4 linked regions of the Struthio camelus genome follow. The protein of the gene in region 4 interacts with the protein of the main gene of each other region in a pairwise test. Links are inferred from orthologs where the notes say so. Each region holds a gene or a part of one and is shown on either strand. Other genes may lie near its edges. The genes, in order: MUL1, RNF167, CNOT4 and UBE2E3.

Region 1 (7,911 bases), on a different chromosome or scaffold from region 4:
CGCAGGAGCTATAAATAACCGGGCTGACAAACACCCCCAAACCCCCAAATCTGCATTCTTGCCCTAGAAATCCTGTCCCTGAAACCATCCTTTACGCTGAGAGCCGGGAAGCAAAGCAGCACAGAGCAAACCGCGTCCTTTGCTGGAAAACAAAACCAAAACACAACCGAATAAAGAGATCGAAAGAAAGGCTTGCATCTTTTATTATTTTGGTTGCCAGTGCTGCGGAGCTGCGCTGCACCAGCGCCGGCTCGAGGTCGTCGGAGAGAGGAGGGGTTGTCCGCCGCCGTCGGGTTTGCAGCACGCGCAGCGGCGTGGAGCGCCGGGGCGAAGAACCGCCGAGGAGGGGCGCGTTCGCTGCGCCGACGGGGGTCTCCCTGGGCGGCTCGGCGGCGGAGCCGACGCCGGAGCAAGCCTCGGATTCGGCAGGAGGCTAAAAGCTAAAATTTCCACCCAAGAGGGGCATCCTTGAAGGCCTGCAAATATGGCAAAAAAAAACAAAAAAAAACGGGGGTGGGGGGGAACTGAGTGAAAACCACCTGCGAGAAGGCAGCAGCGTTTGCAAGCCGGGCCGACGCGAGCGCCGCCGGGGGCGGCCGGCAGCAAACGCCTCGAGGAGCGCCCCGATTTGAAGAGAAAGCCTCGTCGCTGGCGCTAGGGCTGTGCGGGGCGAGCAGCTGCCGTGGTCCGAGCCTTCGGGGAAAAGGGGGGGAAAAAAATCACTGCCACCTCACTCCGCCCTTAATTTCCCCTGCGGGGAGCAGGGGGGGGGGGGGCTCCGCTCGGCGGGCTTGCCGGCGTGGCTAACGTTTGCCGAGGGCTCCCCGCGCGCTGCCTGATGCCGCGTCCCGGGGAGGTGGAGCAGCCCACGGAGGGCTGAGTCCCCGCTGCCGCCGCTCACGCAGCAGGAGCGGGCAGGCGAGCGGCTGCGCCTCGCTCCGCCGCCGGCTCCTCTGCGGCAGCTCAGCGGCTCCGCATCCCCCCGCGCCGAGGCCAGCGGCATCCTGCCGCAGCATCCGCCTCCCGCCGCGCTGGGGTAGGGAGCCGGCAGCGGGGGGGCGGCACCGCCGGGGGACCCCTCCGCGGCAGGTCAGCCTCCCAAAGCGGAGCGGGGCGGAGGGGCAGCTCGGCCGCGGGAGCATCACAGCGGCGTGGGAACGGTGAGACCCACGGGAGCATCGCGGCGGTGCGGGAACAGTGAGACCCGCGGGAGCATCGCGGCGGCGTGGGAACGGTGAGACCCGCGGGAGCATCGCGGCGGTGCGGGAACGGTGAGACCCGCGGGAGCATCGCGGCGGTGTGGGAACGGTGAGACCCGCGGGAGCATCGCGGCGGTGCGGGAACGGTGAGACCCGCGGGAGCATCGCGGCGGTGTGGGAACGGTGAGACCCGCGGGAGCATCGCGGCGGTGCGGGAACGGTGAGACCCGCGGGAGCATCGCGGCGGTGCGGGAACAGTGAGACCCGTGGGAGCATCGCGGCGGTGCGGGAACGGTGAGACCCGCGGGAGCATCGCGGCGGTGCGGGAACAGTGAGACCCGCGGGAGCATCGCGGCAGTGCGGGAACAGTGAGACCCGTGGGAGCATCGCGGCAGTGCGGGAACAGTGAGACCCGCGGGAGCATCGCGGCGGTGCGGGAACGGTGAGACCCGCGGGAGCATCACAGCAATGCGGGAACAGTGAGACCCGTGGGAGCATCGCGGCAGTGCGGGAACAGTGAGACCCGCGGGAGCATCGCGGCGGTGCGGGAACGGTGAGACCCGCGGGAGCATCGCGACGGTGCGGGAACAGTGAGACCCGCGGGAGCATCGCGGCGGTGCGGGAACGGTGAGACCCGTGGGAGCATCACAGCGGCGTGGGAACAGTGAGACCCGCGGGAGCATCGCGGCGGTGCGGGAACGGTGAGACCCGCGGGAGCATCGCGGCGGTGCGGGAACGGTGAGACCCGCGGGAGGACTGCGGTGAGGCGGAAACGCCGAGCCCCGCGGGCGGCAGAGGAGCCCTCGGCGCAGCCGCGATGCTGCCCTGGCGCCGCAGCAAGTTCGTGCTGGTGGAAGAGGAGCGCGAGGGCAAGGGGAAGAGCTTGGGCCCGGGGCTGGGCTACGGCTCGCTGCTGGCCGCCCTGGCGCGCGCCTGGCCCGGCGCGCTGGCCGAGTGCCCGCTGCGGCGCCTGGGCCGCCTCTTCGGGGGCAAGCGCCGGACGGCGGAGCTCAGCCGGGAGGCGCCCACGTACACCGTGCGCTACCTGGGCCACGCGGCCACGCTGCGGGCCAAGGGCGAGGGCTGCACCGACGAGGCCGTGGGCAAGATCTGGGCCAAGAGCGGCGGCGGCGCCAAGATGCGGCTGACGCTGGGGCCGCACGGCATCCGCCTGACGCCCTGCGAAGCCGGCGCCCGGCGCCCGGGCCAGTGCTACCTGCTGCGCCGCATCACCCACTGCGCCGCCGACGCTCGCCGGCCCGACCTCTTCGCCTGGGTCTACCGGCACCGGGCGAAGAACAAGGCGGTGGCGCTGCGCTGCCACGCGGCGCTGGCGCCCGAGGCCGGGGTGGCGGGCGCCGTGGCTCGCCTGCTGGCTCAGGCGGCGGCGGGCGCCCTGGCCGAGTTCGGGCGGCTGCAGCGGCAGAGCGACGGGCGGCACGGGCGGCAGCAGCGCCTGGGGGCCGCCGCCGTGCCCCCGGCCCCGCTGCGGCGCCTCCTCAAGGCGCCCCGTCCCTACGGCCCGCCGGCGGCCGAGCGGGGCCGCGGCGCCCCCGGCCTCGGCTCCATCCTGGAGGAGGAGGAGGAGGAGGAGGAGGAGGAGGAGGAGGGCGAGGAGGAGGAAGGCTCGGGCCGGCGGCGGGCCGACGTGCTGCGGCTGGCCGGCGAGCTGCGGGGCTGCAGCCTGCGGGGCGCCCTGCCGCCGGGGTGCTGAGCGCCCGCTGAACCCCCCCCCCAAAGGCCCTGGGGGTGGGATGGGGTTGAAACCCCCCTCTCTAAGGCCCTGGGGGGGTGGGATGGGGTTGAACCCCCCCCTCCAAAGGCCCTGGGGGTGGGATGGGGTTGAACCCCCCCCCAAAGACCCTGGGGGGTGGGATGGGGTTGAACCCCCCCCTCCAAAGGCCCTGGGGGGTGGGATAGGGTTGAACCCCCCCGCCCCAAAGCCCTGGGGGTGGGATGGGGGCTGAATCCCCCTCCAAGGCCCTGGGGGGGGTGGGATGGGGCTGAACCCCCCCCTCCAAAGGCCCTGGGGGGTGGGATGGGGGCTGAATCCCCCCCTCCAAAGGCCCTGGGGGGTGGGATGGGGTTGAACCCCCCCGCCCCAAAGCCCTGGGGGTGGGATGGGGGCTGAATCCCCCTCCAAGGCCCTGGGGGGGGGTGGGATGGGGCTGAACCCCCCCCTCCAAAGGCCCTGGGGGGTGGGATGGGGCTGAACCCCCCCCTCCAAGGCCCTGGGGGGTGGGATGGGGGCTGAATCCCCCTCCAAGGCCCTGGGGGGGGTGGGATGGGGGCTGAACCCCCCCTCCAAAGCCCTGGGGGTGGGATGGGGCTGAACCCCGCTCCAAAGGCCCTGAGGGAGTGGGATGGGATTGAAACCCCCCCTCAAAGACCCTGGGGGGTGGGATGGGGCTGAACCCCCCACTCAAAGGCCCTGGGGTGGGATGGGGTCTGAACCCCCCTCCAAGGCCCTGGGGGGTGGGATGGGGTTGAACCCCCCCCCCCCCAAAGGCCCTGGGGGCGGGATGGGGTTGAAACCTCCCACTCAAAGGCCCTGGGAGGTGGGATGGGGGCTGAATCTCCCTCCAAGGACCCTGGGGGGGTGGGATGGGGCTGAACCCCCCTCCAAGGACCCTGGGGGTGGGATGGGGCTGAACCCCCCCTTTAAAGGCTCTGGGGGGTGGGATGGGGCTGAACCCCCCACTCAAAGGCCCTGAGGGAGTGGGATGGGATTGAAACCCCCCCTCAAAGACCCTGGGGGGTGGGAAGGGGGTGAACCCCCTCCCCAAAGGCCCTGGGGTGGAATGGGGTTGAAACCTCCCTCTCCAAGGCCCTGGGGGGGTGGGATGGGGGCTGAACCCCCCACTCAAAGGCCCTGAGGGAGTGGGATGGGATTGAAACCCCCCCTCAAAGACCCTGGGGGGTGGGAAGGGGGTGAACCCCCTCCCCAAAGGCCCTGGGGTGGAATGGGGTTGAAACCTCCCTCTCCAAGGCCCTGGGGGGGTGGGATGGGGGCTGAACCCCCCCCCAAAGACCCTGGGGGGTGGGATGGGGGCTGAAGCCCCCCTCCAAGGCCCTGGGAGGTGGATGGGGCTGAACCCCCCCCCAAAGACCTTGGGGGGGTGGGATGGGGCTGAACCCCTCTCCAAGGACCCTGGGAGGTGGGATGGGGCTGAACCCCCCCTTTAAAGGCTCTGGGGGGTGGGATGGGGCTGAACCCCCTCCCCAAAGGCCCTGGGGGTGGGATGGGGCTGAACCCCCCCCTCCAAGGCCCTGGGGGGTGGGATGGGGGCTGAACCCCCCCTCCAAGGCCCTGGTGGTGGGATGGGGCTGAACCCCCCCTCCAAGGCCCTGGGGGGTGGGATGGGGGCTGAACCCCCCCTCCAAGGCCCTGGGGGGTGGGATGGGGCTGAACCCCCCCTCCAAGGCCCTGGGGGTGGGATGGGGCTGAACCCCGCTCCAAAGGCCCTGGGGGGTGGGATGGGGGCTGAACCCCCCTCCAAGGCCCTGGGGGGTGGGATGGGGGCTGAACCCCCCCTCCCAAAGGCCCTGGGGGCGGGATGGGGTTGAAACCTCCCTCTCCAAGGCCCTGGGGGGGTGGGATGGGGGCTGAATCTCCCTCCAAGGCCCTGGGGGGGTGGGATGGGGGCTGAACCACCCCCAAAGACCCTGGGGGTGGGATGGGGCTGAACCCCCCCTAAAGACCCTGGGGGTGGGATGGGGCTGAACCCCCCCCGGGGGGGGGGCGCTGAGCTTGGCGCCGACACGGCCCCCCCCCCCCCCGCCCCCCGCAACACACCCCTCCCTGGAGGACCGCCCCGCCCGGCCAGAGAGGCAGCTCCTCCCCGCCATCCTCTATGGTTACCATCGAGCCCGCGGCCAGAGCGCCGCGGCGGCGGCATCGACGTCATCACGGGTGCGCCGGCGCGGCCGTTGCCGCGGCAACGAGCGGGGCCGGGCGGCCATGGAGGGCGGGCGGCCGTCGGCGGTGCAGGCCGCGCTGCTGGCCGCCGGCGCCGCCCTCACGGCCCTGCTCTACTCGACCTACCGGCACAAGGCCCGCGCCGCCCGCCGCCTCCAGGTGCCCGGGGGAAGGGAAGGGAGGGGGAGGAGAAGGGGGCGGCCGGGGGAGGCCCCCGCGGCCTGAGCCGCGTCGTCTGTGTGCGCAGGGCGCCCGGAGGCTGCGGCTGGACGGGGAGCTGCGCGCCGCCCTGCGGGAGGCGCCGGGCCGCTGCCTGCCCTACGCCGTCGTCCAGGGTACCGGCACCCCCCCCCCCACCCCACCCCCCGCTCAACCCGCCCCCCCCAAGGGGGGGGAGCGCGTCGAAACACCCCTTTGGGGGGTTATTTTGGCTTGTTTGTTTGTGTGTTTGTTTTCTCTTCCCCCCCCCCCCCAACCCCTCTGGCAGGTGCCGTGCGGTCGGCGAAGGAGACGCTGAGCAGCCAGTTCGTGGAGGGCTGCCGAGGCGTCGTGCAGCGCCTGACGCTGCAGGAGCACAAGATGGTGTGGAACCGCACCACCCACCTCTGGTAAACGGCCTCGCTTCGCCTCGCCTCGCCCCGGCGGGGAGGGGATGGGGAAAAAGACGCCCCCCCCCCCCCGGTGCCCCCCTCCTCCTGCCGCCTTCACTGCGGAGGAGACGAGGAAGCAGCTCTCGGGCAGCGCCTGAAGCCCCGACAGCCGAACCCCTCCCGCGGCTGCTTTCGGCGCCCTTCCTTAGCCCTTGCGCGTTAGCGTGTCCGCCTGCCCACAAAACCTCCGCGCCCCCCCCCCCCGAAGAGGTGGTCTGCCAGGTTGAGTAGCAGCTCCCCAAGTCGACTTACGTAGCGGCTAACGTGCCGTGCTCGGCTCTGGATTCTGCCCGCCCTTCCTTTACGTGCTGGCGGACGTGGGGATTGGAAGTAAACAGCTCGGTGGCTCGTTAAGCAGACGTAAATCATGTCCCACCAGCCTCTTCCTGGGCCGCCGCATGGTTTTGAATCAATAAAGTTGGGGTTTTTGCTCATGTTGCTGTAAAATCAGCCCTTGTGTGTACATGGAGACGAGTTCTCTTCTGTAGGACCCTTCCTTTCCAACATCTGCGCTCGGAAATCGGTGTACGAGTTGGTTACCGTCCTCATTTATATCCTTTTTATGGGGTGGGAAAGTCATACAGCTGAGTGCCAGCCATCCGTGGGAGAGCCTTGCACGTTGACATGACTTCAGACGTTGGCAAATTGACGGAGGGGCTAGACGGAGAGTCCGGAGTACAACGCGACCGCGTTATAGCTGCTGAAACGGAGCGTGTTTTGCTGTTTTCAGAGCTGTGTCCTCTCAGAGTTTATATAGGGACTGTAGGAAATGAGCGCTGTTGCTCCAAGCGCTCAGGCAGAGCGCTTGTCAGCCGCTCTACGTTACTGCTGCTGAGCGCTGGTCGCAGTGTAACGTTTCCCCGGCAAAACGGGGCCTTAGTAAAAGTCTGAATTCGGATGACAGACGCTTGTGCTAGCGTCGTACCTGACCGCGGAAGCGGGAGCAGCCTTGTCGAAGGCAGTTGTTGACGCTAGAGCATCGGCGCGCTCTCCGAGCCTAAACAAAGCCCCAGCTAATCGGATTACATTTATTAAACTTGCCCGTGTGACACGCGGCGCTGCTCGCCGCACAGTGGTTTGTCGGAGCCGGGAACGCATCTGGGAGATTAGATGGAATTAGATATGCCTGAGCGCTACCCTCAGGACGGCGGACGTCCTTTTTACCTTACCAGGGAGGTTGCAAATGCGTGGAGATAAGAGAAGAGGGCCTAGCGCAGAGCCGGATAACCCCAGGGAGAGAAACCACTCCGGCATCGTTCTTGGCTAGATGAATTCCAGTTAGGGCAGGCGACAGTGCGGGTGCGAGCGATCCCCGAGCAAAGCAAATCCCCTGATCTAAGCAAATTCGAGACAGGCTGCTGGTGCGGCACCGAATCCTGCTGCAAGTTCCTGGAGCTGCAGCAGTATCGCGTGCCGGTGGGCAGGCGGGGCCAGCAGGCAGCTTGTTTGTTTCCTTGCAGTAGTTGTAGCTCCTTTTTTTCCCCCACCTAACTCGAAGAGGGATGGGTGTTGCTCTTACCCTGCAGACCGTACTGCGTTTCCCTACTGCACTTCATCTGGGGGAAGCGCTAGCGCAAAACTCCTCCTTATGCTTGCGTTTGTTGTAGTCGGTAATCCCTCCTTCCCCAGGAACGACTGTGAGAAGATCATTCACCAGAGGACCAACACGACTCCCTTTGACCTGGTGCCTCCCGAGGACGGGGCCGACGTGAGCGTGAGGGTGATGAAACCCCTGGAGGCCGCCGAGCTCAGCCTGGAGACGGTGTACGAGAAGTTCCACCCCTCCGTCCAGTCCTTCACCGATGTCATCGGCCACTACATCAGCGGCGAGCGTCCCAAAGGCATTCAGGAAACGGAACAGATGCTGAAGGTGGGAACCACGCTGACGGGGGTGGGAGAGCTGGTGCTGGACAACAACACGATCAAACTGCAGCCCCCGAAGCAGGGAATGCAGTACTATCTCAGCAGCATGGATTTCGACGCCTTGCTGCAGAAGCAAGAATCCAACGTCAGACTCTGGAAAATCCTGACAATCATTTTTGGCTTCGCTACTTGCGCCACTCTCTTCTTCCTCCTGAGAAAGCAATACCGGCACCATCGAGAGAAGCAGCGCCTCAAGCAAATGCAAGATGAATTCAGGCAA
Region 2 (7,884 bases), on a different chromosome or scaffold from region 4:
TGAACTGGTGATGGCCACGCCCCCGCCGGGAGCCACGCCTCCTCCCCGGGCCACGCCCCGGCCCCACCCATCGGGCTGCTCTTGGGAGAGGAAGAGCCGTTTCCACGGCGACGGCGTTTGACTGACAGGCTGAAGCCCCGCCCTGGCTTTGCTCCTGCCCCGCCCCATTGTTGCTGAACGCGGGACCGCCCCCCCCAACCGCCTGTGGGGCAGGTCCCACCGTGGGGCCCGCGTGTGGGGCAGGTCCCATCATGGGCTCTCCCCACCGCGGCCATGGGGCAGGTCCCACCACGGGTCCCCTGTGCCGTGGGGCAGGGCCCACAGTGGCGCCCGGCTCTCTGTATATTTTGCTTTAATTATTTTGTAACGAGAAACTCGTTAATGAAGCACTTTATGGCCCCATGGCCGTGGGGTGCCCCACGGTGGGGGGGGGGGGGGCTCTCCAGGGGGCGGGGCCAGAGGCCGGAGGCCTCGAGGGTGGGGGTGTAGGCCCGGGGCAGCCCCCACCGTGGCCTTGAGATGCTGTAATAAAGCACCGAACCAGGTCGCAGCCACCCGCTTCAATCGCCGAACGCCTGGGCCCCGGGGGGGGGGGGGGGGGGTCTCCAGGGGCTCGTATAGGGCTGTGCAGGGAGGGGAGGGGAGGGGGAGTCTCCAGGGGCTCGTATAGGGCTGCGCGGGGAGGGGAGGGGAGGGGAGTCTCCAGGGGCTCGTATAGGGCTGTGCGGGGAGAGGAGGGGAGGGGAGTCTCCAGGGGCTCGTATAGGGCTGTGCGGGGAGAGGAGGGGAGGGGAGTCTCCAGGGGCTCGTATAGGGCTGCGCAGGGAGGGGAGGGGAGTCTCCAGGGGCTCGTATAGGGCTGCGCAGGGAGGGGAGGGGAGTCTCCAGGGGCTCGTATAGGGCTGTGCGGGGAGGGGAGGGGAGTCTCCAGGGGCTCGTATAGGGCTGTGCAGGGAGGGGAGGGGAGTCTCCAGGGGCTCGTATAGGGCTGCGCAGGGAGGGGAGGGGAGTCTCCAGGGGCTCGTATAGGGCTGCGCGGGGAGGGGAGGGGAGGGGGAGTCTCCAGGGGCTCGTATAGGGCTGCGCGGGGAGGGGAGGGGAGTCTCCAGGGGCTCGTATAGGGCTGTGCAGGGAGGCCAGTGTATCCGGTTTAGGGGTCATGGAGGTGCTCCAGGGGTGTGGAGTTTTTAGGGGGGGCATGTCCTGGCTGCCACTCCCCCCCCCAACCGCAGGCCCTAGCGTCCACAGTGCCTGGCTGAGCTGTCCTCGTTCTCCAGCAGGGACAGGGGGCACACGGGTTGGCGGGGGGCCATGCTGCTGGGGTTGCTTGGGAGTCCATGCAGCACTGGAGGGTGTTGTGGGCAGCACATGGGGCGTGCAGGACGTGGGAGGGGCATGAGAGGGGCATTTGGGGGCCTCTGAGGGACCCTCAGCTGCCCCCAGGCAGGAGCATGCGAAGGAGAGGCCCAGGCACTGGGCGCGCACAAGGGTGCGGGTGCCTAGGGCGAGGCAGGGAGCACCCAGGGGAGCGCCACTGTGCACCCGGGGTTTAACGTAGCCCACGAGGGGTTAATGTGGCCCACGAGGGGGTTTTTCACACCACAAGGCACAGCTGGTGCCAGGGTGGGGTGGGGTCAACAGAGCCACTGTGGGAAGGATGGCGGCACCACCCTGGGGGACACTGGAACCACTGGGGGTTGGGGGGGGGGGACACACCTGCTTCCTAGCTCTCACCCTGCACCCCACCCCGGGGGGACCCAGGCGTCTGGGCAGTGACGGGGGGGGCCCCACTCGCCGTGGCACCATCGTGCCCCGACGCCACCCGCACTGCCACCTCCTCGCACCGACAGCTCTTTACTATGTTCCAAGCGCAGCAGGGAGAGGGTGGGGGACATGTTTCGGGTGCCCCCGCCGGGGCCAGGCGCGCAGGGAGACCGCCGGGCCGGGGCTGGGGCCGGGGCTGCCGCTAGGCACTGAGGAAGAATTTCTTGTAGTACTTGTTCATCTGCTCGAGGAAGATGAAGGTGAGGACGGTGTGGGGGCCCAGGCGGGCGTAGTACGGCGTGAAGCCCTTCCAGAGGCTGAAGAAGCCCTCGTATCGCACCACCTTCACCAGCACGTCCTGCGAGGGTCGAGACGGGGGGCTCGCGGCGGGGCCAGTGCGCGGCAGCCCCGGCAGCCCACGGCCCCTCGCTCCCGCTTACCAGCCCGTTGCGGTACTCCGGCTTCCCGTCGATCATCCGCATGTTCTGGATGCTGCGTGGGGGGAAGGAGGGTGGTGAGCGGGGGGGCTGCACTCAGGGGAGCCCCCACCGCCCGCGGCACCCACCGCGTCTTGGCGATGTCCACGGGCATGGAGGCGGCCGTGGTCACCAGCCCGCTGATCATGCTGGCACAGAAGTGGCAGAGGATGTCGTCGCGGAAGTAGCCTGCCGCAGGGGAGAGATGGCAGCAGGCGTCAGTGGGGCCGGAGCCGCAAGAACGGAGTCGCGACGCCACCAGAGTCACAACATCGGAGCCATGATGCTGCTGGAGCCGTGACGCCACCGGAGCCGCGACACCGCTGAAGGCACCGGAGCCACGACGCAGCCGGAGCCGTGATGCCGCCGGCGCCGTGAAGGCACCAGAGCCGCGACGCCGCCGGAGCTGTGACACCGCCGGAGCCGCGACTCACCGGAGTCGAGCAGGAACTGCTTGGACTGCGAGTAGGAGGCGAGCTGGGCGGCGTTGACCACCACCGCCCGGGCCATGGTGGGGATGCAGCCCTGCGGGCGAGAGGGTGAGCGGGGCCAGGGCGACCCTGGGGTCCCCCGTGCCACAGCGTGGGGACGTCCTGAGATCCCCATGTCCCCATGCCGTGACCTGCCAGAGTGTGGGGCCACCCCAGGGCCACCACGCTGCTGCGCCAGCGTGCGGGGACACCCCAGGGCCCCCCTCCCACACTGCCTCGGACGCCCCAGGACACCGGAGCGTGGGACCACCAAGTACCCCCCCACCGCGCCGCCGCGCCGCGCCGTACCCGCCACAGTGTGGGGACGCCTTCCTCCCGCGTTATCCGCAGCAGGGCGTCGAAGACGTTCCGGTAGCCGCGCCGCTCGGCAGGGGGCAGCCTGGGGGGAAGGAAAGTGGGGGCCCACGGGCAGGCGGCGGGAGTGAGGGGCCGCCACCGCCGCTGCTGCGGGGCCCCGCTGGCCTCACCTGCCGTCGGCCGTCATGCGGATGAGGGCCACCTCGGCTGGGGTGCCCACGAAGGCGCCGGTGGCGCCCGCCGTCATGCCGATGAAGGCTTTGGTGATGAAGGCGGGCGGCGTGCCGTCGGCCCCCGTCAGCTTCTCGAAGAGGACGGTGTAGATGCCCAGGCGGGTGGTGGTGTAGGTGGCCTGGCGCAGGAGGCCGGCCGAGAGCCTGCCGGGGGCGGTGGTGGCGTTCAGCGGGCAGCGTGGCGGCCTCCCCGCCGCCCCCCTGCCGTTCCCCGTCCCGCCTACCCGGTGTAGATGCCGCGGACGCCCTCCTTGCGCAGGATGCTGCCCACGGCATGCAGGCTCGTCTTGTACTCTTTGGTCTTGGCGCCCTCGCCACTGAGCTGCATGCGGTTCTTCACCAGGTCCAGGGGCTGCACGAAGACGGTGGCGCCCATGCTGCGGGCAGGCAGCAGCGGGTCCAGCGGCTGGGCAGGGCGGCCCCCGCCGCCACCGAGGAACGGCTTTGGCAGCCGGAGCAGCGCCGGCCGGGCTCTGCTGCAGCACGTGACCCGCACGTGCGCCGCGCCGGCCCCTCGAGGCGTTTGGGGAAGGAGCCTGACACCCAGGGCAGCGTCTTTTGGTGGGGGGATCTGGCTGCGCCGAGCTGCTGACGGAGCAGAGCTGCCCGAGGCAGCTCCGGGGCAGGGGAAGCGGGGAGAAGGGGGCCGGTGTCTCGGGACCCTGCGATGGCTCAGGCTGGGTGGGCTCCCTGGGGGTGACGGAGGGGGCTGGGGGGCTGCGAGGTCCGTGATGGGGCTGAGGGGAGTTGGGGGTGTCTGCAAGGGGATGGGGGGGCTCTGATGAGGGTAGTGGGGGGCTGCTGAGGGACCTGAAGAGATTGGGAGGACCCTGAGGGGTCCGGGGGGTGGTTCCTGAGGGGGCTGATGGGAGCATGGGGCCCCGAAGGGATCGGAGGGGCCCTGAAGGGTCAAGGGGGTCCCTGAGGGGGTCGGGGGGCCCTGAGGGGGGCTCTAGGGGGTCGGGGGCTCTAGGGGGTCGGAGGGGGCCCTGAGGGGGGCTCTAGGGGGTCGGGGGCTCTAGGGGGTCGGGGGGGGGCCTGAGGGGGGCTCTAGGGGGTCGGGGGCTCTAGGGGGTCGGGGGGGGCCTGAGGGGGGCTCTAGGGGGTCGGGGGGGCCCTGAGGGGGGCTCTAGGGGGTCGGGGGGGCTCTAGGGGCTCTAGGGGGTCGGGGGGGCTCTAGGGGCTCTGGGGGGGGCTCTAGGGGGTCGGGGGGGCCCTGAGGGGGGCTCTAGGGGGTCGGGGGGGTCGCTCACCCGGCCAGGCCGCCGAAGAGGAACTTGACGGACTTGGGGGAGGTTTTGGGCTTCTCGGCCGCCGGCGCCGCCGCCATCTCGGCCGCTGCCGGGGCCGGTGCGGTCCGGTCTGGCCCGGTCCGCTCTGGTCCGGTTCCGGTCCGGTCCGGTGCGGCGCGGCCGCCCGGCACCAAGGTGACTCCGGGGCGGGGGGCGACGGGGGGAGGCGGGGGGGAGCTGCGCGCGCAGCCGCGGCGCCCGCCGCACTGCGCCTGCGCGCGGCGCCTGCGCCCCACCGGGGACGGGAGGGGCGGGACCTCCAGGGGCGGGGGCGGGCTGGAGACGGGCCGGAGGGGCGGGGCCTGAGGGGGCGGGGCCTGAGGGGGCCGGCCGGAGGGGCGGGGCCGGGCCAGACGCGCGCGCACCCCTGCGGCCGCCCATTGGCGCGGCGGTTTTGGCGGGAAGAGCCGCCGGGGGCGGGGGGGGGGAGGAGGAGGAGCGCGACCCACCGCCCCCCCCCCCCCCGCCGTGAGGCACCGGGTACCGCCGAGTAACAGCCCCCCTCCCCCCCCCGCCGGGTACCGCCGAGTAACAACCCCCTCCCCCCCCCCCCCGCCGGGTACCGCCGAGTAACAGCCCCCCTCACCCCCCCCCGCCGGGTACCGCCGAGTAACAGCCCCCCCGCCGGGTACCGCCGAGTAACAACCCCCCTCCCCCCCCCCCCCCCGCCGGGTACCGCCGAGTAACAGCCCCCCTCACCCCCCCCCCCCGCCGGGTACCGCCGAGTAACAGCCCCCCCGCCGGGTACCGCCGAGTAACAACCCCCCTCCCCCCCCCCGCCGGGTACCGCCGAGTAACAACCCCCCTCCCCCCCCCCCCGCCGGGTACCGCCGAGTAACAGCCCCCCTCACCCCCCCCCCCGCCGGGTACCGCCGAGTAACAGCCCCCCCCCCCCCGCCGGGTACCGCCGAGTAACAACCCCCCGCCGGGTACCGCCGAGTAACAGCCCCCCTCCCCCCCACCCGCCGGGTACCGCCAAGTAACACACATACGGGTACCGCCGAGTAACACCCCCCCCCCCCGGTACTGGCGAGCAGCAGCCGCAGCAGCACCGCAGAGCGCCACCTGCGCAGGGGAGCGCGGCCCCCGCGGAGGAGTACCGCAGGGTAACACCCCCGCGGAGGAGTCCTGCCCTGGAGGAGCGACGCCGGGTACCACCCTCCCGGCGCACCCCGGAGTACCGCCGCCAGCCAGCGCTGAGGCGGGGCGCCACGCAGTACCGCCCCCGGGTACCGGAGTACCAGCCGAGGAGGAGCACTGCCAGGTACCACCCCGGCGAGAAGTACCTCCAAATACCACCTCCCATGGGAAGTACCACCCAACTGCCTCAAAGTACCAGGAGGTACCACCCCGAGGAGGACTATCACCCCAGTACCACCCCCCGAGGGTGAGTACCACCCCAGTACCACTGCAGCCCCCCCGAGGAGGAGTACCACCCCGGTACCACCCCCGAGGAGGAGTACCACGCGAGTACTGCCCCCAAGGCCGAGTACCGCCCCGGGGAGGGGCACCCCGGGGCCCCCCGCCCCGCGAAGCACCCCCAAACGCTCGCCCGGAGCCCAGGTACGGCCCGAGCGCCGCCCTCGGGGAGTACCGCCGGAGGTACCGCCAGGCGGGGGGGCGCCGGCCCCCACGCGCGACCGACCCCACGACGGGGGTCCGAGGCAGGGCCGGACCCGGCGTTGGCCCCCCCGACCCGTGCGCGGGGCCCAGGCGTCCGGGGCGGGACGCGGCGGCTCCTCCTCCTCCTCCTCCTCTCGCGAGAGCGCCCGGCCATGTTGCGGGCGTAAACACGGGGACCCCCCGGGCGGGGGGGACACGCGTCCGCCCCACGGCCCCGTGGGCCGGCGCTGAGCCCCACACGTCGCCCCCCCCAGGTAAGGCGGGGGGGCCGGACGCCTGGGCCCCGGCGCCGCAGCGGGGCGGCGTGTGGGCTGGGGGGGCGGACTTCGCCCGGCGCTTATCGGGGTGAGGTGCGTCCCGGGGCCGCGACACGCCGCGACACGCCTCGCCACGCCTCGCCGCGCCACCTCCCCCCGCCACTGCGCCGGCCCGGACGCCTGGGCCCCCTCCACCGCGGAGCGAGCCCAGGTGTCCGGGGGCCGCCCCGACCCGCCGCCGCCGTCACCTCCCAGGTCGCCGCCGTCCCCGCCATGCGGCCGGGCCCCGTCGCCCTCCTCGCCGCCGCCGCCGCCGCCATGCTGCTGACACCCCCCGCCGAGACCTACATCCAGGCGGTGAGCGGGGTTTTGGGGCGGTTCGGGGGGATTCGGGGGCCGTTCCGGGGCTCACTGCCGCCGCCGCCCCCTCCCCGCCAGGTGCTGGGGCCCAACGCCACCATGGAGTTCTCCGACCTGCCGGCGCTCTTCGGCGCGCCGCTGCCTCGCCAAGGCCTGCTGGTAGGTGGCCTCCTCCGGACGCCTGGGCCCCGTCCCGGGACGCGGGGGCCCCTGACGCGTCCCCCCCGCGCAGGGTTTCGTGGTGGAGGCGCGGCCCAGCAACGCCTGCCGGCCCATCGCGCCGGCGCCCGGCGCCAACGGCACCGTCTTCATCGCCCTCGTGCGCCGCTACGACTGCGACTTCGACGTCAAGGTGGGGCGTGGGGGAGGGGGGGAGGCTGGAAGGGCCCAGGCGTCCCCCGCCTCCCGCCCTGACCCTCGCCGCCGCCCCGCGCAGGTGCTGCACGCGCAGCAGGCCGGCTTCGGGGCCGCTGTGGTGCACAACGTGGACTCGGAGAAGCTGCTCAACATGGTCTGGAACGATGGTGAGCGCTGGCCGGGCCACGCGGCGGCTCCGCTCCGCTCTCCCGGTGGCCCCGGCTCTGTCCCGGCTCCATCATGGCTCCATGGTGGCTCCGCCATGGCCCACACAGCTCCACTGTGGCCATCACGGCTCCTTCGTGGCCTGTCATGGCTCCACCGTGACCACTGCGGCTCCATCACGGCCATCGTGGCCCCATCATGGCTGTGGTGGCCCTATCACAGCTCCACCACGTCTCTGTCATGGCCGTCGTGGCTCTATCATGGCCCGTCACAGCTCCGTTGTGGCCATCATGGTTCCACTATGGCCACTGTGTCTCCGTCATAGCCCTGTCACAGCTGTCATGACCCCATCATGGTCCCCTTGCAGCTCCATCATGGCCACTGTGGCCCAGCTGCGGCTGTCGCGGCTCTGTTGTGGCCCTGTTGTGGGCTTGGTGGCCATCACAGCCCTATCGTGGCCCCATGGTGGCCCTGTTGTGGCTGTGGTGGCCACCACCCCTGTTGTTGCCCCATGGTGACCGTCATGGCCCCGTGGCGGCCATGGTGGCTCTGTGGCGGCCCCATGGTGG
Region 3 (7,448 bases), on a different chromosome or scaffold from region 4:
GCACATAGAACTGCAAACTTGAATCCTGTTACTAGTCGCCGCTCACTAATCTTCTCTCCTTCCCCTTCCAGCGCCTGCACAGGATTTCTATAGAAAGGAGCCAGAAAGAGGGAGGCATCTTGTTTTGTTACACAGCAATGGTTCCCTGGGAAAATCCATTCCTCAGGGAAGCCCAGACTGGAAAAGCAGATGGGAATGACATTCCAAAATTGAGAAAAAAATTAAACCTATTATCACTAGCACTGATAGGAGGAATGACAAACATTTGCAATTTGTCTCTGGCAACCGAGGCACCATAATGATGAGGAGCATGAGCTTTGCAAGCTGCTGGCTGCATGAAAAATGTTTGGAAAAAGAGAGGATAAGGAAGGAGAAGTCCATGGATCCTGTGAATCTCTTTCAGCAGGAGACCAGAAGGCAAAAAAAAAAGAGCTGAGAGAATACATGTGACAACTTGTGTAGCCTTCAGGCAAATGTCTAGACTCAGAGAAGGAGTTTAGGATAAGGAAAACAACATACAGGAAAATTTGCTGGAAATTGTACAGAAGGAAACAGACCTCTGAAGAATGTTAGGATGCTATATGCATACCACTACTTCAAGAGCACCCTGGGGTTAACAAGAGCAGTGACAGCTTCCTGTAGGTTTCCAGAGGTTACTGTACCCTTTCCAGAAAACCGGAGTGATTTCTGCTTTCATTTGCAAAGACAGATGCACTTAGCATATACGGTGTGTTGTGCCAGAATCAGTAAAGATTATCCTGAAAAAATTGACTGAGGCATTCCACTAAAGTTCTCATTTTCCCCTAATAACATCAATTCGTAACAAAAACATTAACAAAGACAAATCTCTCTCCCTTTTCCACTGCTGTATGCTTACCATGAAGAAAGAGCAGGACAAATCCCTGATCCTGTTTCCCGGAGCAGTTTGGACACCTCCTCCCTCTCTCATAGATTTTGAACCAGACTTGGTTAACATCTGTCACTTGCAGCAAATATTGATCAGCTTGTTTGTAAGGCTCCTCCAGCTGCCCTTCAGTTTTGCCACAAAGCCCTTCATTATTATTCTGTAGGTAGTCAGAACAGTCATACCATTCCTTCTCCAGTACCTTGGCCCAGTAAAAGGCCTGAGAAGTAGAAAGATGTCTGGGTCTCCCAGAGTGACAAAAGGAAGGACATCATTAACTTTCATAGCCGTCCAGGGAGCAATTGATATTTTGTTGCAGTAAATAAGGCTGAATTTCTAAAAATCCTTTCATCAACTATTCCAAAACTTTTTTCATTAATATTGGAAAACTTTCCATAGTAATCAATGAGGCTTTGCAGAATATCCTTTTTCTGTTTATGAAAACTGACTTTTGGTATGCAATATAGGTACCCAAGTCCAACCAGTGGTTCCAACGTTAACTCAGGAACATGAACTTTGCAAATCTTGAAGTCATTTTCTTGGTACCAGCACAATGAAACACACACACACAGTATTTATTTCCAGCATACACTGACATACCAGCACCAATCCAGTTAGCAGCTAGCCAGCTGGATTGCTGGCAACCACCAAGGCACCAATGGTCACCCCAACACAGAGATGTGCTGCTGTATCAATTTTATCAATGCTGACAATCTAAACTGAGCTAGGCCTTTGGCAGCCATTACCATCCTGAAGTCCTAGCAGAATTACTCTTCATCCCAAGCATGGTTTCCTCCTTCTCTGCCAGTATCAGTGCGCCACCACCACATCTCTTTCCAATCCCTTCCCAAGACTTTCCACTGCGTTACCAACCTGTTTGTATTAAGGGTGGCTGGAACTGCGGAGCTCTGCCATGTTTTCTCCATATAGCCATTTGAAGTGGTGTTGACTAACAACAGGAGGAATCATGCAAGTAGATTGGTTTCACCCCAAATTGCAGAATTCTGGTAGGTTCCTATATCTTCTTCCACAAGACACCAACTGTAGGACATCTCACCAGAGAGTACCTTCCCAGCACATACTGAGAGTTAATACAGGACAGCGTGTATGTAAAGAATCACAGGGAAATTGTAACTGAGTCAAAATAAATAAATCATACAGGTATACATTTTCACTCTAGCTAGTATACTTTGGTTATTTCCAAGAAAATATACTCTGAACATTTTTCTTTGTAGATATAGAAAAAAATTTTTTAGGAACAATCCTGCTGAGTGATCAGACCTATTCAAAATAAATGAAAAACAAACATCAAGGTGACAAAATGTGACTGTGTAATAATAATCTATCAAAACAATTACAATTACTTCAAAGCAAGAAACAGATAATTTAAGGACATCTGAAATCCAACAATGGCCACATGATGGTCTAGTGAATTATTCTCATCAAATAAAAGTCGAGGTGGAAACATAAGGCCATGTGTAACCTTCAGTAACGTAATGCAATATAACCTTCTGCCATGTGATTTTTTTTCACATTATTATTGGGTAGTGCTGAAATTGGTGTCCATGTGAGACTCAGCAAAGGAATATAAACAGACCTTTAGTAAGGGAAAGAATTCTCAATCCTAAATTAAAAAAAAAATAAAACACACAGAATGTCACTTAATAAGCAGCCTTAATTTCGACCCATGAATTGCAGCTTTTAAAATGTACTATTTTTATCTTTCTTTCAGAGTCAAAGGACTTTATTTTATTCAACAGGAAACATTGCCAAGTACTAGGTGTGTCAACAAATGCATTACTTTATATAAGTTACTTACATACTGGGTACTTCTGGAACATAATCCTTTATAGGTAGCTTGATCTGAAAATGTGCAAAACAAAGTTTTTGATGAATATATTCATTTCATATATACGTGCACTTGAATCTGATGTGTCATATATGATATATATGTTACAGTTATATATTAAATAGGTTTGTAAGTACCATTGTAGGATTCATTTTCAAAAGAGTACTGCATTTATGTTCACATGTTGAGACTACTAATGAAAATAATATTGTATTTATTTTTATTCAGATCTAGGTCTTGCCCACAGCTGGAAGTGATATAGTTAATTCATAGAGCTTTCCTGTTATGGGTATTCTTATATCAATATAAAACTGTTTATATGCACAAAGTAACGTTAACTTCTGTGGGAAAGAGAATAAACTACAGCAACACAAGACGCTTCGCTATCAGTGGAACAGGTGTGTGGTGTGAGGCTGTAACTGTATAACACTTTAACGTAAGACAGAAAAATAAAGAAGAAAAGCATCATACTGCTAAGCAAAATAGTTATACCTCTGCATTCTGTGCAGGCCATTCTGTGATGAACACCTCTCTTACCCACCCAGCAATTGCTGAAATAAGTAAAACATCAGGTGTATGTTGCCATGGCAAAACCACTAATAACTTGTGCCTTGGAGATAACTGATGATTAAATATGCAGGATGAAACTGCCTATTACAAGAGCTAAGGATCCTGTGCAGGAACTCCCTCTGGAGTCATAAAGATTGGGAGTAAAAGCACTCTTTTTGGCTAGTAGCTGAGGTTCTGAGGTCCCTTTGTGTGATACTGGGACTGCAGGAAAAAGGAGGTAGATTTACAGGTTCAGTCTTAACAGGCCCATGGCACTGGGTTTCTCAGTATCTGCGGTAGAAAGAAGAGACCAAAGCAATGTGGTTTGGGTGAGTTTCTGAAGACAAGAGAGACAAAAAAGAAGCAAGACAAGTGTTTTGGCAGCATAGAGGTTCTCTCCCTGAGAATTTCCAGGGAGGAAGTTGCTTCTGCAATATTAATTACAATCCCTGCCCATGAAAGCAGAATTTGCCTAGATTTTCTAACTGAAGAGAGGACACCAAGAAAACACTCATTTCTGTGCCTTTCTGTTCCAAATGGGAAACCGATCTGCAAAGCTCTTAAAAAAAAAAAAAAAACTGTTTAGCCAAGGGGCACCACCGCGTTAAGTGTCTGTTGCCATAGGATGAGCAGGTCCGGGCGGGAGAGGGGCAGCTTTCCAGCCGCGGGGCGGGCGGGTGGGCAGGCGGCGCGCAGGAGGTAGCCACGTTTCACCGCTGCAGAAAACCGATGTCCTCATCAGCCACGCAATCTTGCTGTCACGCTGGGTCGGAACCTGTGAGGATGGAGGAAAAAGGAAAAAGGAAAAAAAAGAAAGAAAGAAGAAAGAAAAAAGAAAAATAGGCAAAAAAGAGAAAAAGAAAAAAAAAAGAAGAAAAGAAGAAAGAAAGGAAAATAAGAAAGAAGAGGAGGAAGGCAGGCAGCTGGCCATCTCCCGCGCGGGGAAGGGAGAGCCGGAGGCGGTGGCCCGCGTCCCGCGTCCCCCCTCTGCTGTGAGTTGCGGCGCGGCGGGGGCGGCGGGGCAGGCTGTGCCTGGGAGCGGGAGGGACCGGCCAAGAGCAGACTGCCACCCTCCCGGGATGTTGTAAACGGGATCTGTAGTCGGGACTCGCCGCCTCTCGCCGAGTTTAACGGGAGCGAAACCAAGTACGAAAGCGCGCACTGCAAACAGCCTCCCCTGGCTGCCAGCCACCTCCTCAGAGACATCGCCTACCTGCGCTTTTGGAGGTCTGAAGTGACAATAAGTAGATTGCCTTTGGCCGAAGGGAGAGGGGGAAGCAGAAACAATGAGGGGAGGAAACAAAAAATAAACCCGGCGTTTTAAATCCGCACAGGTTTAACGGCCGGCAACAGGTGGCTGAGGCGGCGGTGGGTGTAGGGCCAGGGTCGGGCCGGGCCGGGGGCGAGCAGGGTCTGCCCCGGGTGGGCTGGGGGGTGGCGAGGAGCCCCGGGGTTACGCCGGCGGGGGGAAGGCGGACCAGCCTTCCTCCTCCTCCTCCTCCTCCTCCTCGTCGTCGCGGCCGGCAGTTCCCCCCCCCACCCCCCGCCCCGCGCTGACAGGGCGGCCGCGCCGCGCGCCTACAAGTCCCGTCATGCCCAGCGCCGTCGCGGCTGTTGCCGTCGCGGCCGCTCGCGCCCCTCCCCGCCCACTGTCGGCGGCGCAAGCGCAGGGGGGGCGGCGTCCAGGGCAAGTCTCCCTAATGTAAGATGGTGGCCGGGCTGGCAGCGGAGCGCCCCGAGCTCGGAGATTACCCGTCTCTCGCATAAAGGTCGTCGGAAGAGCCGCCGCCGCCGCCGCTGCCGTCGAAGCCCCCGGTCGGCCGCTGCCACAGGTCCCGCCCGAGGAGCGCCGCTGCGGTTTTTTTTTTTTTTTTTTTTGCCTTCAGCCGCCCGCCCCGTCTCCTCTCTTTCCTCGCCGCCTCTCTCCTTCCCTCCCCACCCTTCTCCCCTCTCCTCCTCCTTCCCCGCACACTCGCCCGCCTCCGCCGGCCCGGCTCGACTCGGTTCGGTTCGGCCCGGCCTGGCCCGTCCGCCGCGCCGGGCAGCGCAGCGCGAAGGAGAGCCGCGCACACACTGCGCGCTGGGCAGGGACGAGGAAGGCGGGTGAGTGCGAGCTGAAGGCCGGGCCGGGGAAGGAAGGAGGGAGGGAAGGCGGCGGGGGGGGGGGGGGGGAGCCGGGCCGTTCTGCCTACGAGAGCGCCGAGGCTTCGCTGGGACGGCGCAGGCCTCAGCCCACCCCCCCGTGCCGGGAGCGGCCGGGCCGTGCGGGGAGGCCGCGGGGGAGAGGGGCGGGTGGGCGGCCGCTCCCGGGGGCCGCGGGGAAGGGGGCTCCCCCGGCCGGCCGCGGGGGGGGAGGTATTTATGGATTTGTTCCTACCCCCAGCGCGGGGGGGGGGGGGGAACCTCCGCTGGTCAGGTTGGGGGGGGCGGTCCCCCCCCCCCCCCCCCCGAGCCGCGCTGCCCTCCCGGCCGTGCCCGCCCGCCGGGGGAGGCCGGCGGCCTGCGGGATCGCGGCGTGATTCACTTAGGATTTGCCTGGAAATTTCCTCTCTCCCCTTCTTCCTCCTCCCCAAAGCTAGGCTCCATTTGTTCTTATGATTTGCACTTTTTTTTTTTTTAAGAGCGCAACAAACAGATGGTAAATGGCAGCCTCTTATTTTCTCTGTTATTTTGGATAGTCCGTGTAACCCCCCTGAGATTTGTCTATCTGTAAAATAATCGATATGTAACTTTCTGTCTCTTACTCACAAAATACTAGCAGCTCGTTCCATTTTGTGGGTTAGCAGAAGCAAATGATACTGCTGTGTATGAGCTCTCATCCTACTTCCAGGGACTTGTCGTGTTGCTCTACCTGCCGGTGTCAAACTGAGCTGCTAATGTTTTCATGTGTACAGTAAAAGGGGAGGGAAAATACCCTAGATAAATATCATAGACTGCTTTGTTATTGTACCTGCAAGGATTTAATTGTCCATGGCTTGAATATTTCTGTCAGTATGGTAATATCAAATAGGTAGTTCATAGGAGAAGTAATTCTCTTTATATGTTAATGTAAGCAGAAACCATTAGCTAGTTAAAGCTGTGGAAACTCTAGGCCTACAGATGTTAGCTTACTCTTACCCAGAAGTTTTAGAAGTTAATGTTGGCAAATCGCATGTTTACTGAGCCTGTACAGATTTCTAACTCGCTGTGTTTTAACTGTCTGTGTTTTATTTTAGTTCTAAAAGGTCTGGACTCAAGCATCTGCATATTTTGACTTTATACTCATGTAAGCATGATGACTGGCATTAACTAGAAGGAAAAACTAGTACTGAACAATGAATATGTAGAAGAATGAAATTCCTTCTGTGCTCTCTCTGTCCCCACTTTGAGAAAAAAGATACAGGTTTATGAAAAGCAGGGAATAAACTGGCTGTTTGGTTTGAGAGGATGAATTGATTTCAGGTGGCCTACAAATACTCAAATACACTTCTAGTTTCTTATCATCTCTCTAATAATACACTAAACTTGTGCCTAGTCTAGGATTCAGGTGTGTTGTTCAGGTTTTGGGATCCTGTGATAAAATTTCTGTTTCATGAACAAGATGAACACATGCAAGCGTTTAGAAATGCTTGGCAGTTGAAGTTGGCTGAATTGCAATCAGAGTTCATTCTAGGGGAAAGGGTTGTTTTGGAAAGGGGAATACAATGATAAAATTGATCTTTGCTTTTAACTTGCGTACTTTTTTCAGGTGCCTGTTTATTAGCATTTTAAATGATGACCCTTGGAAGGTCCTAACAGCTTTTCCTGTTTAGAGAGAAAAGGTGGTGAGTGCCTTTCAAGAATAGCACTCTGTAAAATAATTTGTTGATACCTTTTTTCAGAAAGTTTAAGAGCTGCTATGCAGTGCCCATTAAATAAAAAGCTTGAGTTCAAGAAGTTGGGGAGAGAATAAGCACATGTGGCTTTTTTTTTTTTGAAATAAACATATTCATTATAAACAGATAGATGTTGTCCTTTGCTGTTGTTCAGGAAAGTTAGGATATTCTTTGCATGTTAAATGTTTTGAAATTACTCTGACCAAGGTTTTAAGTATGGGCCCTGAAGGCTTAACTTTGGCAACTGTTTTTCGGAATTCTGCCTACCTCTCTGGAATAAATGAGTTTATAT
Region 4 (7,510 bases):
TTCATTCTGCTGCATGCAATTTCTGTTTAATAGTCATCAGTTGTAAACACAAAAACGTTTCCCATTTGTTAGCCTGAGCACATTAAACTCCTACCACTGTCCACAATTTAAGAAGTTGTTGTTACATACCTGCAGTTAGGAGGAGGATCAAGGGTTATTTCAGCTAGCTCCTTCTGGATTCTGTTGGTGAAATGAGAACAGACACAAAGCATTTGAGATAGTCTATAGAATAAATCAGGGAATTACACTGCCCTCTACCACCATGCAGTTAAATGCAAGATTGGCTTTGCCTTCAGTAATGCTAACATGGCTGCTTCCTCTTTGTTCTCAGAGGCATAACCCAAATCCCACAGCAGAGAAACTTTGCAGCTTTTTTTCTGCTTAATACTGTAAATAAACAGCACGCTTACAACTGAGTTTGATAGGAATTTCCCACAAGTATACAGAAAAGTAACTATTTTTCATATCTGAACACTCCTTAGCAGAGAGATTTTCTTTTCAAGCTAATATGCAAATGAGGTGTGTGTGGGGGGGGAGAGGCTGTACAAGCATATTTAACAATGACTTTAAACCAGGGCTGCAGACCCGTGATTGCAGCTGAAGCAGCGAACTGTGCTGTAAGCAAATACGTTCTTTTGACAATGTTTTACCTGTTACTTTCCAGTAACATTTAAAAAGTAGATTTGCAGATCTGACAGGCTGCCTCGGTTACTGGAATAATCTCTCTGGATCAACTTTGCTCCTCTGTGCACCTTCTGCTGCCTTTCTTCCCTGAAGCTTATAATTTCGAAATAATCTGTGAGCTAGCTTTGCTCTCTATCCTGTAACAATCGTTCCTGAGCTGTTAAGGTCCGGAAGAGGAACACTGAAAACTTTTTGTCAATTTAATAGTTTGTTCAGATACAAGAGAGGTATAAAGTTAAAAGATGCATGGTAAATTCCTCTTTAAAATGTCAAATAAGATTTTTCTTCAAAAGAGGCCCATAAAAGCAAGACCGTTCTTTCCTTTAAATAGGAAGCATTAAAATATGAACTAATAGAAGCTGATCTGAAAGCCATTACACTAGTCATACTAAGTTCAATCAGACTACTCAGCTATTTGAGACTTATGGAATTAGACACACAACTAAGCAAAATGAAGGCAAGAGGGGAAAACTTAGTCTTGAGTTTCTACATGATGTATCGTGGGTTTTTCAAAAAAAGTAAGCAATAATAAATTACAAAATCTACACAGTGCTTCCAGAAATCTTCCTCCAGCCAGTCCTATTTCAAAGGTGTGTTTTTTTAAACGAGCACAGATGTCAAAGCCACCTACTAATGTTCTGCAGTAATATTAACGCATTTCAAGAAGTATTTATTCAACTTAAGTCCCAATGCAAAATTCTAAAACGTTCCTAAAAATTTGAACTGCAGTATTTGTGCTGAATAAGCAAAATTTGAAGCTGCTTAATAAAGAACTTGTATGCATTCTCATGGCTGATCTACAGCTCTTCTTGCTACAGGATAAACTCAGTATTTGTAAAGAAAAGGAACTGCGGAGAAAAGATTGGAAAGTTATGTTTCATCTCAAAAGACCACTGAAATCAAGGGATTTAAAGTTTGCTTGTTTCATAGAGCTGAACTTACAGAATAGGGTTAGCGTGCTTGTCTTGAGAGCTGGACTTCCAGAAATCTTATATGCAAATAAAAATGCACCAGATACAACCAAACAAGCTTTCTAAGGATTTTGGTGCTTAACAGTAGAGTCTACCTATAGAACTCCATGGTTTGAACCTGCAGATCCTAAGGCAAAAGATCCACTTAAATTTCTCCTGAACAAACTGCAGAAACTATTAGGTTAAGGCATGAAAGGCTGCACTGCATATTGACAAGAAAAGCTAGTCATATGGCCTGCAAAAGCCACTTTTTTTTCCTGACTTCTATAATTAAAGAGCATTTCCTGTCACTAGTCTACAGGCTACTAGTGTACACCAGGACACTGCCCTATAGCAGTAAGGGTGAGAAAACTAGCTCTGTGAAAGAGATACCTGGAGCTCACGCACATACTCTCTTGCACATTTTCACAAAGACAAAAAAAGCCAAAAAAAAACCTCCTACCACCCAGCCAGAAAGTTACCAAATTCTTAAGCAACTCTTCAGAAGAAATATGACAAGTTTGTCTGATTACTACCTCAATAAGACCTAGATTAATATTGCCTGACAGACTCCTGTATTTAAAATCTTCACTCTTTTACTTTACTTTCTCATATAGCTTTACAAGAATCCATCTGCCCTGAAAAGTGCAACTGCAAATAGTGAAACTCAAAACACCGTGCAAAAATACTACAGAATATTTTACTATCACTTTTACCTTTTAGCACTAGTAGATAGTTTAGCAGTAGTTTTGCTGGATAATTTGGTGTTCTTCTTCTGCTGGGTTGCAGAAGGTTTTCTTTCCTCTTGCTCTTCAGGTTCAGGTGCTGGTGGATCCCTCTGATCGGCATCTGAACTACCACTGCTGGTACTTGGACTCTCATCATCTGACCTCTGCCTATCACTGGACATCGTGGGGAACTTTTAGGGGGAAGGAGAAGAAAAGAGGCAGAGTTAATGTAAGAGTCAGGACTGTCTCTTGCCATTCCCCGAGTTCTAAAGAGCACTTTCAACTTGATGACAACTCTATTTCACTGAGAAATTAGCCAAAACGCGCCTCTTTGTCTCATCCTCAGCAAGGGCTGTAGTTTGACAGCTACGAAGCAATATTTACACTTCTGAAAATACAGATATTTCCAATTTTTGAACCCACTCACATTTTTTTCATACTTTAAACAATATGCCAATTGTCGACTTTGTTCTAAGCCATGAGACAGATTTAGCAGGGTACTTAGGCAAGGAACATTAATAACTTATGACACATTGTAAATAACAGACCTCACTGAAAATGTTTTTTAAAAAGTCACTAATACCCTGTAAATATTTACACTGGAGCAGAGCATTTTATTGGGTCCAAACAGCCAGATCCCCCCCCTCTCCCGGAGAAAATATATTGCCAGTAACACTCGGGTGGATTTCAGACTGAAATAGACACTTGCTCCGTCCCTGGGCGTTTAAAGGGCTGGGCGGCGGGGGAGGGGGGGGGTTTGTTTGTTTGTTTTTTTTAACCAAGACGCATTTAAATCGACTCGGAGAGCAGCGGCGTCGGTTATTTACAGGGCCAGCAGCACCGACTGCATCTGGCCGCCGCGGAGCTGCTGGGGGCGGGGGGGGGGAGGGGGGGAAGCGTAATTCAAACTGCCCCTTCCGCGAGGCTCCGCCACCGGCTCTCGCTCCGTTTCCACCGCGCAGACCGACATTTTTTAGCCAAAAGGCGGCGGCGGCGGCGGCGGCGGCGGGGGGGGGGGGGGGGGAGGGGGGCTGCCCCCGGAGGCCGGGGGGGCCGAGGAGGAGCGCGGCGCTGCCGCCGCCGCCGGCGCGGGGAGCTGCGGCGGGGCTGGAGGCGGCGGGGCTGGAGGGAGGAGGGAGGGAGGGAGGGAGGCAGCCGCCCGGCCGCGCTTTGTGGGGAGAGCCCGGCTCGGCGGCGGCTGGGGCGGCCCCGCAGCGCCCCGCACCGCGCCGCGCGTGGGCACCGAGCGAGGCGTGAACTCAGGCCGGCCGCGCCGCGCCGCGCCGCCCCGGCCGCCGCCAGGCAGCGGGCGCTGGGAACAAGAACAAAGCTCCTCTACCAGCTCCCCCCCCCGCTCCCCGCCGCCTCCTCCCCGCCTCCCCCCACCGAGCTCGCCCAGCCGCCTGCTGCAGCCACCTCACCCGCCGCTCCTTTACCTTCGCCGGCGTCCTGTCCCGCTGCTGGGTCGGAGGGGCGGGATGGCGGGGGGCAGGGCCGGGCCCGCGGCGCCCGAGGAGCGGACGGAGGCGGCCGGGGGGCTATAAAGCGGCGGCGGAGGCTCTGTGGCCGGGCAGTGTGGAACATTGAGAGCCGGAGCAGGGGGGAGACGGGGGGAGGTGCAGTGCGGCCGCGGGGCCGGCGGGTGGCGCTGGCGGGCCCCGCTCTGCGGCGCGGGCTCCCGCGGCGGGCCGGGGCGGGCGGGCGCGCGCCTGCCGCGGGCGGGGGGGGGGGGGGGCGCCGGCGGGCTCCTGCTGCCGCCGCCGCCGCCGCCCCCTGGTGCCGCCGCCGCGCCCGCGCTCGCCGCCGCGCCGTCAGCAAAGTTCTCCGAGCGAGCGGGGGAGGGGCGCGGGGGGCGCTCGCTCCCGCCTCTCGGCTGCCGGAGCGCGCCCCCCTCTGGGCTGGGGTGCGCGCAGGCGCTCTCCCGGCGTGGCCGAGGGCGCGCGTGCTGCGGGCCGGGCAAGGACAAAGCGTCGGCGCGGGGCAGCCGCCGCGCGGGCAGCGCCCGGCCCGGCCAACGGCCGCGGGCGGGGCCGCCCGGGGCGCGCCCCCAGCTGGGGCAGCGCCTCCCGCCGCGCTCCCGCCCGCCCCCCGCCCCGTGTCTGTGGGCTGGGTGCCACCAGCGTCCCGCGGGGCCCTCGACGGCCCCGGGCTGCGCCGCGTGGCGGGCCGAGCCCTCCCGCGGGCCCATCGGCGGCCCCCGGCTGCGCCGCGTGGCGCCCCTCTGGCCCGGAGCGGGGTGCGCGGGCCGAGCCCTCGACGGCCCCCGGCCGCCTCGACGGCCCCCGGCCGCCCCGCCGGCCCTCGCTCCTCACGTCCGGCGTCGGGCCGCGCCGGGCTGCCACACGCCGGCCACGGGCTCGGGAGCGGGTTCAGCAGTGCCGGAAACGAGCGGTTGGCCGCCCTGCCCTGACTTCCCTCCGCTTTTCCCCTTCTAAAAATCTCGACTCCTTAGCGCGTCTCGGGACGAAAAGCTCCCATTTGGCGTGTTGAGTCTGTAGGAGCCAGGACTCGTTTCGCCCTGAGGTCCGGTGCGCCGAGCGGGCCTTCGACCTCGAAGACAGCGCTGGCCCTGAGGCGCGCCGATGCGGCGGCTTGAGGAGGCCAAGTACACCAGGAGCTCCTGTGTCACGGACAAAGCGGTGGATCCCTACAGCAGCAGGGGTGGTACTATACAGCCGGGCTGCTTGTAGTGAGGGTGTTCGGCCTTACAGGCGGTGTTTTGAATTGTTCCATAAACAGCCCGAGTGCCAAATTCTGAATTTTTTTGGAAAAGGAAAGAGGATAATAGATAGCAATTGCAGTAGGTGTCAGTGGGAAGATCATTTCACAAGGGAGATAGTACAGGGTGGAGATTTAATTTCTCTTCTGGCCTGTCATGGATGTGCTGTTCTGGGGTGTACAGGAACAGCTATCCACACTAAACCTTTAGAGTACTCGGTGTGGTAAAAGCAAGCCAAGAATTGAAATAATATGAATATTCCGAACTTACCAAAGTGTCTGATCATCCTGATAATAAGATCTACTTGTACGTGTAAAACGCTATTTGTGAACACTAGACAAGGTTGTGTATAACCAACTTCGGCCGAGAAGGAATTAACAATTACTGTAAATGTTTGTACGAAGACAAAAGGCAGCAATCGACGTGAAATCTCTGGTGAACATTGCTGTCCAACGCAAGGGCTTTCACCTCAATGGCTTTTACCTCAAGGGCTTTCATTATCAACAGCCTAATGACTTAAAACTACTGTATTTTCTTAGGTTTAGTAGGATCAAGGGGTCAGAGAGTGTATACTGTGCTCTAGAGGGAATAAACAGTCGGTGTGTCAGGGATGACAGTTTTCTGGGTAGCTGAAGTTAACTCAGTTGAAAAGTATGCTAAAGATTTGGTGAGAGAGTTGAATGATGTGATGTGGAGAAATACTGGAGGTTTGTTTGTTAAAGTAGGCTAGAGAGAATTCCCAGATCACCACTACAGGCAATTTGCCCCTGAGGTATGCTGTAGAAAATTCCTAGCATAAACAGTATCTGGCATGATGAGCAATCTGGGCATAATTAGTAAAAGAGAAGCGTGGCAATATCAAAAACCTATCAGTCAGCACTGGGAGCTTTTTTTTTTGCTAGTCTGTTGAAGATGCTTAAGATGAGACTTGCTGGAGCTTTGAAAGTGTAAGTTTTCGGTTTTTTATTTTATTTCAGGTGAAGATTAGCACAGGCATCCAAAAAAAATGATTAGCAGGGTATGCGTCTGCAGAGTGAATGCAAGTAGACTGGTCAAGGGTTGCTCGCCACATCAGCTACTACGTGTTGGTTTCTGTGTGGCTTTTAGGATACAAAATAAAAATAAAGCCCATTTAACAGAGATTAATTGAAAAGCCGATGTAGATTATTTTTTCCCAGCCTGTTGTACTTTATTAAAACAGATTTACTAAAGCAACTTGTGGATATAAGAGATGTTCATTTGAAGATGTTCATTGAAGATGTTCATTAATTTGACATCAAGTCTCAAAGGATGACACTTTTCTTTTGTGAGGCTGTATTTTCCTTAGGTATGTTTGTTCTGTTGTCAACTGTATTAAAAGTAGTATATTGAGAGATATGGTATATTTTGAACTAAGGGGAGAAAGTGCTGATTTTAATAGCCATACTTTTAAAGCCACATATCCCAATCTTTGTGACTTTTCATATCGCTTGTGATTTTTCATCAGTGTAATTTTAACTGATGTACCTATCATGAATGCTCTTCTGCTGCCAATTTATTGGATCACTTGAACTGTGAAAATGCAGCCAGTATTGTGAAGTGCAGAGCCTTCTTAACGATCATTTAGACTGGTCCAAGCAGTTCTGGGCACTCAGGAGTGGGTGAGGCCTGCGTTTTTTCCCCAATCAGTGGCCTCTGTTTTTATCACAGGCCCTCCTCTCAAAAGCTGTTTGTGTTTTTTTCAGAAGCCACATGTCGCTTTGGGTATATCTCCGTCTCTATTTTGTCAGAGCACAGGTATGAAGGTACTGTCAATATATGGAGGCTTAACAACTGCTTTGGGCTGCACAGACATCTGATAATATTTTTCTAGGTTTAGGAATTCACAGTTCAGTCTCCTCCATCTGACATGAAATGCTGTGATAACGAACAACTCAATGCATGGCAGCAGAACTAGAGAAAAAGGCACTTTCTGCCTCTCTCAAGGAGACTGAGAGAGATGGAAAAATCATTGCTTGATCTCCTTGCCCCTAACATTTTAAGGGTATATAGATGGTAAAATAAGGCCAGCGTGCATTTTTCATGATTAGGAGCAGCTCAGTTGAAAATACTACTTAAATGTTTACAGTCATATACTACATCTTCTTTATCACAAAGTCATTGTTTCCTGACAGTAAATATATCTACCTAGCAATGCATCTTTCTGTCCTATGTGTGTTTCCATACCAGGCTGTGTCTTTTAAAGCACCTGTTGGAATTCTACTAGTGGTACAGCTAGAGATGCACAAACTGCAGAGTCAGGAAATGAAGGAAGTATTGTTTTAAGATAGATGTGATGTGATAAAATTGAGATTGTGCTTTTATTATTATTTCGTGTCTAGCAACTAGTGGCCCTTGTGAGGTAGACCCCATACAGATATCCAGTGAGTCTTTTCCCCAGATAATTGACA

The links.
Region 1: the proteins of UBE2E3 (region 4) and MUL1 interact in a two-hybrid assay, tested with the Homo sapiens proteins (2 studies listed by BioGRID and IntAct). The link is inferred for Struthio camelus from reciprocal best matches to the Homo sapiens genes UBE2E3 and MUL1.
Region 2: the proteins of UBE2E3 (region 4) and RNF167 interact in a two-hybrid assay, tested with the Homo sapiens proteins (2 studies listed by BioGRID and IntAct). The link is inferred for Struthio camelus from reciprocal best matches to the Homo sapiens genes UBE2E3 and RNF167.
Region 3: the proteins of UBE2E3 (region 4) and CNOT4 interact in a two-hybrid assay, tested with the Homo sapiens proteins (3 studies listed by BioGRID and IntAct). The link is inferred for Struthio camelus from reciprocal best matches to the Homo sapiens genes UBE2E3 and CNOT4.

The regions. Positions count from the first base shown.
Region 1 is NC_090962.1:12,714,336-12,722,246, forward strand, and holds the start of MUL1 (mitochondrial ubiquitin ligase activator of NFKB 1), read left to right. Parts: upstream 1-4,902; 5' UTR 4,903-4,913; coding exon 4,914-5,277; intron 5,278-5,365; coding exon of another isoform or gene 5,366-5,453; intron 5,454-5,605; coding exon 5,606-5,726; intron 5,727-7,397; coding exon 7,398-7,911. Other genes in the region: protein FAM43B, read left to right, coding at 2,017-2,913. UniProt on the Homo sapiens protein: Exhibits weak E3 ubiquitin-protein ligase activity. E3 ubiquitin ligases accept ubiquitin from an E2 ubiquitin-conjugating enzyme in the form of a thioester and then directly transfer the ubiquitin to targeted substrates.
Region 2 is NW_027182728.1:101,315-109,198, reverse strand, and holds the start of RNF167 (E3 ubiquitin-protein ligase RNF167), read left to right. Parts: upstream 1-4,872; 5' UTR 4,873-5,033; intron 5,034-5,548; exon of another isoform or gene 5,549-5,590; 5' UTR 5,591-5,940; exon of another isoform or gene 5,941-6,116; intron 6,117-6,136; exon of another isoform or gene 6,137-6,526; intron 6,527-6,688; 5' UTR 6,689-6,706; coding exon 6,707-6,790; intron 6,791-6,871; coding exon 6,872-6,952; intron 6,953-7,025; coding exon 7,026-7,145; intron 7,146-7,229; coding exon 7,230-7,317; intron 7,318-7,884. Other genes in the region: MINK1 (misshapen-like kinase 1), read left to right, coding at 1-11; SLC25A11 (mitochondrial 2-oxoglutarate/malate carrier protein), read right to left, coding at 1,967-2,122, 2,205-2,256, 2,330-2,429, 2,675-2,765, 3,020-3,110, 3,199-3,405, 3,486-3,638, 4,515-4,591.
Region 3 is NC_090942.1:54,558,013-54,565,460, forward strand, and holds the start of CNOT4 (CCR4-NOT transcription complex subunit 4), read left to right. Parts: upstream 1-4,446; 5' UTR 4,447-4,529; exon of another isoform or gene 4,530-4,738; intron 4,739-4,956; exon of another isoform or gene 4,957-5,405; intron 5,406-7,448. UniProt on the Homo sapiens protein: Has E3 ubiquitin ligase activity, promoting ubiquitination and degradation of target proteins. Involved in activation of the JAK/STAT pathway. Catalyzes ubiquitination of methylated RBM15.
Region 4 is NC_090947.1:18,921,277-18,928,786, forward strand, and holds the start of UBE2E3 (ubiquitin-conjugating enzyme E2 E3), read right to left. Parts: upstream 3,009-7,510; 5' UTR 2,976-3,008; coding exon 2,946-2,975; intron 2,554-2,945; coding exon 2,351-2,553; intron 181-2,350; coding exon 130-180; intron 1-129. UniProt on the Homo sapiens protein: Accepts ubiquitin from the E1 complex and catalyzes its covalent attachment to other proteins. In vitro catalyzes 'Lys-11'- and 'Lys-48'-, as well as 'Lys-63'-linked polyubiquitination.